2 linked regions of the Xenopus tropicalis genome follow. The protein of the gene in region 1 interacts with the protein of each later gene in a biochemical or structural test. Links are inferred from orthologs where the notes say so. Each region holds a gene or a part of one and is shown in the gene's direction. Other genes may lie near its edges.

Evidence for each region.
Region 2: the proteins of fgfr4 (region 1) and fgf19 form a complex in vitro, tested with the Homo sapiens proteins (2 studies listed by BioGRID and IntAct). The link is inferred for Xenopus tropicalis from reciprocal best matches to the Homo sapiens genes FGFR4 and FGF19.

Annotation. Positions count from the first base shown.
Region 1 is NC_030679.2:46,326,511-46,330,342, reverse strand, and holds part of fgfr4 (fibroblast growth factor receptor 4 precursor), read left to right. Parts: intron 1-2,056; coding exon 2,057-2,320; intron 2,321-2,587; coding exon 2,588-2,683; intron 2,684-3,254; coding exon 3,255-3,421; intron 3,422-3,555; coding exon 3,556-3,679; intron 3,680-3,832. UniProt on the Homo sapiens protein: Tyrosine-protein kinase that acts as a cell-surface receptor for fibroblast growth factors and plays a role in the regulation of cell proliferation, differentiation and migration, and in regulation of lipid metabolism, bile acid biosynthesis, glucose uptake, vitamin D metabolism and phosphate homeostasis.
Region 2 is NC_030680.2:12,860,951-12,864,882, forward strand, and holds the start of fgf19 (fibroblast growth factor 19 precursor), read left to right. Parts: upstream 1-850; coding exon 851-1,085; intron 1,086-2,350; coding exon 2,351-2,454; intron 2,455-3,932. UniProt on the Homo sapiens protein: Involved in the suppression of bile acid biosynthesis through down-regulation of CYP7A1 expression, following positive regulation of the JNK and ERK1/2 cascades. Stimulates glucose uptake in adipocytes. Activity requires the presence of KLB and FGFR4.

The DNA of each region.
Region 1 (3,832 bases):
CAATGTTATTGCAATTAGTGTATCGTATATGCAACAGTACAGGGCAATGCTTAAACTGTAATATCTATACAATGTAGATTTGCTAAACACAACATGTTGGGTATGGATTTTCCTCTTGACTAAAGCAACTGAAGCTCCCGTTGGAGAGAGAATCCATTCAAATAGTTGCTGCTGAATACCATCAAGCAAGTTGTTTGCCACTTTTCCATGATTAATTGACCACTAGAGGCCAGTGGTATTTCAGTGGATGAGCTTCCAGATATAGCACAAAAAGTTAGTATGACTGATCAATTCATAAAGCAGGCTGGGAAAGTGCTTTTCCTTTGCTCAAATTTTACTAGCAGTGCCTCACTAATTAAAAGTCTTGAAATAATAGTATCCAGTAGATACTAGTATACTTTCAGAGTTTCGCTTTTCATCAGATTGGCCTCTTCAGATGAGTGGTGAAACGTTTCTGAGAAAACTCTCCAGCAGCTTTAGACTTCATTCTACTAGATACTGTATATCATGACCTGGATGCATGAGAATCTTCAAAAATATCTTGAAATAATGTGTAAATTATGTGGTGATGGAGTGGTTAAGCACATGGGGACTAATTTTTTCCAGTAATTCCATTCTCGGTATGGTATCACAGTAACTAATCATACTAATATTTGGAATCCAGAGGGACATGCTATTGTCCAGGTATGGATTTTGAAAACACAGATTGCAAATATATAACTTATTATTTTATTCTATAATATTGATTGATATACAAATATTTATCCGTTTTTATGACCGCCTTACCACCAGTAGAGCTGTAACCAGAAACCACACAAGTGCAGAATAGAGACAAAATGTTCAAAATAAATTACATTTACTATAATAAATAACCTAAACGTATGTTATGATTTATTGAACATTTCCCATTTTGGAAATAGGGTATATTATACCTTTTTAATAAAGAGTGTGTACGCTCCAGTAAGCCTGGGTGGGTTGGATTCTGGGACAGGTCTAATCTGTTGATGTCTCTAATATAATTACTGTGTTGTGTTAATTTTAGTACAGGCGGACATTGCCCATAATGAGGATCATGGTCTTCCTGTAGATCTCAAACTAGTGATGAGAATATCACAAACATAGGGCAGTGACCACTTTGTTAGATCACCCTCCCCAGTGCTGCTTGATAATATATGCTGATTAGTTTAAATACAGCAGTAGAATGGAATTACATGTAATGTAATTAGGTTACATTTTTCATGGCACTCTCACGATAGAGATGGGCAGTAGGTCAGCAATAGTAGAACTGGATCGCATAACTAAAAGTATTCGCTGCATATCTGGGCACTTCTGAAACATTTACAGTTAATCTTTTAAATAGTGTTATTTCTTGTATATCACTTATAAAAGATTACAGTTATAATTCTGCATTGCTGTGCCTTCATTATAAATATGGCTATGTATATTGAGCCCCCATCAATTCAGAATTTAAACTGTAAGGGAAAACTGATAAACTGCTGCTTAGGTGTAAATAGAGTGGCCTTGAATTAAACATTAAAATATCCTTATTGCCACCCCTGATAGGATGGCCCCCCTGTTGGCATTGGGAAACAAAGGGGCTCTTGTTGCTTAGCAGCATAATGTCTAGGGGTTTCTTGGGAGGTTAAAGGTTGACATGCTGGTCAAATCACAAGTTCACAGGGATATAAGTGGCTTAGGTGAGAAAAATGGCGCCAATGTGAAGTGTGTTGTCTTCACATCAAAACTCAAAAAGAAAACACCAATGAAGTTCAGCTGCTGGTTAAATAAACACCATGGGAGGAAGGGAAACATTTTACATTTTCACACTTTAAATCTGTCTGTAATCATCAAGTTCCTTCCTTAATCATCATCCTTTGTTATATGGGATAATGTGATATGCATGTTTCTGTACTCCGTAGACTAGCCAATTGTCCATTGTTGTCTTTCTTATTAATGCAGAGAATACCTCTTAAAGAGAGATTACAGAATATATATAATTTTAAGGTGATATGTTCATTGGTTTTCATTTTACCTTTTGTTATGGGTTTTTCTCTAGGGGAAACAGAAATATCTGAGTCTGACGTTGAAGAACATCTACTTCTAGACCCTGGGAATGCTCTGCGACTGTTTTGTGACACCAACCAAAGCAGCAGCATCAACTGGTACCGTGAGCAGGAACGTTTGCTGCCGGGAGGGAAGATTCGCATGGTGGGAACTGTGCTAGAAGTCTCAGATGTGACCTATGAAGACTCTGGCCTTTATATATGTGTGGTCAGAGGAACAGGCAAAATCCTTCGAAGGTTCTCTATATCTGTTGTTGGTAAGTGATTTAAAAGAGGGTATTTACCTTGTGGGATTGATGTACAGAAAGCTGCTAAAGCTTTTACATTATATAATGTTAAAAGTCTGCAAGGATACCCCAGTTCAGTGCTGGAGCCTCCAACGTATTTTAAAGTTGTCATTGTAAAGTTTTCAAAAGTTATTACAGCTTCACATAATTACATACTGTTTCTGCTAACACTAGGCTCCAGCAGAGCATCAGATCAGCAGTCTGCTATTCTCATTTATCATTACAATTTTCTCGTAGACTCGTTGGCATCTGGAGATGAAGAAGATGATGAGGATGGCCGTAGGGAGGACTCAGCCGCTGATATTAATGAGGAGCCTGTTTATTTTTTCCAAGGTGAGAGAGCATATATGGCTATAGGTAATTAGAGGTTATAATGACCCTCAAACCACTACTATTAGAGCCATAAAATACTATAGTTTCAGTGCTGGACAGTCTTTATCTGGAGTTCTCCACATACCAAAGACCAGACAGTCTGTGATGTCTTTAAAAGATGTATACATTCAGATGTGCCCTGGAGCTAAGAGAAAGACCAAGAGCAAAATAAATAAATAAAATGAGCTAAGAAACAACCCAAAATCCAAGCTAAAGGTCCCTGTTCCTCATCAATATCGTAATTGTGCAAATGTGGCTTACTACTACAGAAATAGAAGGCACAGTTCTGTATGAAACACAGTTTTTTGGCACTTTTTGGAATGAAGCAAATAATAAACCATTGAAGCTCTTTTACAGCATATTCGTACATTCCAAAGATGGCTGGAATTAATATTATAGATAGAGAGATATATGGCTCCTCAAGAATATTTGAAGGGGGTTTATTAACTAAACAATCTTAGTCAGTTGATCCAATAATAATTTCAAAATGTAACTTTTTGATTACTAATAAATCCTTACTTCTATCATTCAGCACCATACTGGACCCAGCCACACCGCATGGACAAGAAACTTCATGCTGTACCAGCTGGTAACACTGTCAAGTTCCGCTGTCCGGCTGGTGGAAGTCCTCTTCCCACTATTCGATGGCTAAAAAATGGCAGAGAATTTCGAGGGGAGCACAGAATTGGTGGGATCCAGGTAAGCTGTGGCATCTCTGGCTTTATGCACAGCATTGCTTCAATACTTGTTTAATTATAGATGTTTAATTTTGACTTATAAAACATTATGATTTTGGGAGTAATCCTAATATTTTCATCCATCTACTCCAACAGCTTCGGCATCAACACTGGAGTCTGGTAATGGAAAGTGTGGTTCCATCAGACCGTGGCAACTACACCTGTGTGGTGGAGAACAGAATTGGCAGCCTTACATATACCTACTTTTTGGATGTGCTAGGTATGTTAGCTACTAAAATCATTTTGTTGTATAACTGTGAAAAGTTGTTTATCCATTGAAAAGCAAGATTTTAAGTACCCTACAAGGAGCACAAGTGAAGCTGGCTAGTGAAAGAGGATTACACCAAACATAGATTTTGAAATGGTCAAAATA
Region 2 (3,932 bases), on another chromosome or scaffold:
TATTGGTGTAGCATCCAATCAGAGACCACGGTGGAGTAAAAGGCTACACGTTTCATTCACTGCTGTATTTTCCAAGTAACTGTGGACTTTAACATTTCTTAGTTTAAACTGCAGGTCAGGTTTGAATTCTGCCAAAAATTGTAGTGCAACACCCCCTCCCACCCCAGCATGATGGGAATTGTAGTCCCACACCCGCAGGCTGCTAATCCAAAAAGGTGGATCAGACCTAAAGGGCTTTCCTTTCAGCGAGACAAAGAAAAGTCTCTGACACAGAAGGGTCTACGTACTAATAGCCTCCCATTAAAGGAGGACCCATAGGCAGGGGTATGTGCCATTGTTAACAAATGTCTCACTTACTCTGCTTGGCAATAAAAGGACAACTATCCCTCCCCCAGTACAAGGTATACACAGATATATCCGTTTTTTTAAAAAATTTTGAACATTTTTCCAAATCCGGATCCGATTTAAAAGACAAAGATACAATTACACATAAAATATCTCAGTTATACAAACATTTTCCTTAATAACAGGGGTAACAAATAGGAATAATGAAACAGCTAAAAACCCGAGTATGTAACCTGTGAGGGTGATGTAATGATGATAGGAAGGGGAGGTCTGTGCTTACTATGAAAGGTCTACTTATTGAAAATAGTATGACCTTATCTATGGAGCTGATAAGAGTCCTATAAAAGGCTGGGGATTGGCTTGTATTTACTACAGCCCCGAGGCAATTAGGTTAAAAAAAAAAAAAAAAAGCATTGCCTGACAGTCTGTCTCAAGCAACTTTAGTGTTACTGACTCTTTGTGTGTGTGTGTGAGCTCTCAAATTGCCATTTCCAACCCTGGGAAGATGTGGAAGACCCTGCCTTGGATTTTGGTTCCCATGATGGTGGCCGTGCTGTATTTCCTCGGAGGGGCGGAAAGTCTGCCGCTTTTTGATGCCGGGCCGCACATGCAGAACGGCTGGGGGGAGTCGATCAGAATTCGGCACCTGTATACGGCCAGGAGGTTCGGGCACGACAGCTACTACCTCCGGATACACGAGGATGGCAGAGTCGATGGTGACAGGCAACAAAGCATGCACAGTAAGTGTAACGTAGAGCAAAACTATCTATGAATAAATCACATCAATTGTTTCTGAATCAAATGAACTATTATTGTTATTAATAATTATTTATATAGCACAGTGATGGGACCTGTTATCTAGAATCCTTGCGAACTGGGGCTTCTTTCTGTAATCTGTAATCTGTAATCTCCATACCTTAAATCTGCTAAAAAAAAAAAATCATTTAACCATGAAATAAACCCAATAGGGCTGTTCTGCCCCCAATAAGGGGTAATTATATCTTAGTTGGGATCAAGTACAGGTACTGTTTTATTATTACAGAGAAAAGGGAATCATTTAACCATTAAATAAACCCAATAGGGCTGTTCTGCCCCCAATAAGGGGTAATTATATCTTAGTTGGGATCAAGTACAGGTACTGTTTTATTGTTACAGAGAAAAGGGAATCATTTAACCATTAAATAAACCCAATAGGGCTGTTCTGCCCCCAATAAGGGGTAATTATATCTTAGTTGGGATCAAGTACAGGTACTGTTTTATTATTACAGAGAAAAGGGAATCATTTAACCATTAAATAAACCCAATAGGGCTGTTCTGCCCCCAATAAGGGGTAATTATATCTTAGTTGGGATCAAGTACAGGTACTGTTTTATTATTACAGAGAAAAGGGAATCATTTAACCATTAAATAAACCCAATAGGGCTGTTCTGCCCCCAATAAGGGGTAATTATATCTTAGTTGGGATCAAGTACAGGTACTGTTTTATTATTACAGAGAAAAGGGAATCATTTAACCATTAAATAAACCCAATAGGGCTGTTCTGCCCCCAATAAGGGGTAATTATATCTTAGTTGGGATCAAGTACAGGTACTGTTTTATTATTACAGAGAAAAGGGAATCATTTAAACATGAAATAAACCCAATAGGATTGTTCTGCCTCCAATAAGGATTAATAATATCTTAGTACAGGGACTGTATTATTATTATAGTGAAAAAGGAAATCATTTTTAAAAATTAGAATTATTTGGTTATAATGAAGTCTATGGGAGGTGACCTTCCCATAATTTGGAGCTTTCTAGATAACGGGTTTCCAGATAACGGACCTAACATATTCCATAGTGCTTTACCAAGATTCTTGACCCAGTGAATGTTAAACTATATTGCCCCTATCACATACATACAAAGACTAAGGTCAATTTAATCAGGAAACATATAAACCGTTTGCAGATGATAGAATTAAATCTAGGATCTTCCATCTGAATCATTTTTGTTTTTATATGTGCAGGTTTATTGGAAATCAGAGCAATTGCAGTTGGAATTGTTGCCATTAAAGGGTATCGCAGCTCTCTGTACCTGTGCATGGGGTCCGAGGGAAAACTCTATGGAATGGTAAGTGAGCTCTGAAGCTTCTAATAATAAAGATATGCAAGGGTGGAAGCTTATAAGTAGAACAAATCATATAGGAATAAAGGATACAAACAGCCATGATAACTGTATGCAGAACAGATCATGTGGCTTCCAAAATGTCTTTTAGCAGCATTAAGGTAAGACACATGGAGCTACTTAGTAGCAGCTACTTGTCGGGGCTACTAAACTCCAGAAAATACCATAGACATTACTGAGAATTGCCTCTGCTAAAACACACATAGGGACAATTATCAGTAAATGATCAGCATTGTCTGTTTTAGTAGCCACTACTAGTAACTGCTACTAGTAGCTCCATGTGTCTTCACCCTTATACATAGAAATGGCACTGTATTTATCCTGCCGTGTGTTCTGGGATGTATGTATGTATGTATAAAGAAGCTGTTGGTTTTTTTTTTAAAACAAAGGTCCTTTGCTCTAAAGTTACTGCTCACTATAAACAAGCATATTAGTTTTATACTGATGTACTGAAGTTGTATGATGCACATTCTGTATGCCGCAGAAGCAGTACAACATACCATATTACTTACCTTTGCATGGAATTGGCCAAGAATATCTAGATAACGTCACCTTCCTACTGAAAAGAGAGGAAAAAAGTGTCATTTTTCGTACATTTTCATTGCATCAGCACTCCTTTAACAGTGCTCTCATTTGACCGCTTCTTTACCTTTCAACTTTATACCCGGCTTATTTTTGGCTCAGTCAGAACAGGTGAATGAACTATAGCTCAATAAAACTGAGGAACAGATTATGTCTGGAGCACACTGCCACTGTGTAAAGTCTTCTATGCAAAGGCATTTTCCAGGGTTTCTTATACTGAGCACCTTGCAGGATACATGAAGTGGCAATTTCATACATAATACCCTAGCGTACATGCAATGCAAATTCCATACATTGTCCCTTGAACACCTCAGAATAAATACAGTGCCAATTCCATGTATAATACCCCAGAACCCACAGCAGGATAAATACAATGCCAATTCCATGTATAATACCCCAGAACCCACAGCAGGATAAATACAGTGCCAATTCCATGTATAATACCCCAGAACCCACAGCAGGATAAATACAGTGCCAATTCCATGTATAATACCCCAGAACCCACAGCAGGATAAATACAGTGCCAATTCCATGTATAATACCCCAGAACCCACAGCAGGATAAATACAGTGCCAATTCCATGTATAATACCCCAGAACCCACGGCAGGATAAATACAGTGTCAATTCCATGTATAATACCCCAGAACCCACAGCAGGATAAATACAGTGCCAATTCCATGTATAATACCCCAGAACCCACAGCAGGATAAATACAGTGCCAATTCCATGTATAATACCCCTGAACCCACAGCAGGATAAATACAGTGTCAATTCCATGTATAATACCCCAGAACACACAGCAGGATAAATACAGCGCCAATTCCATGTATAATACCCCAGA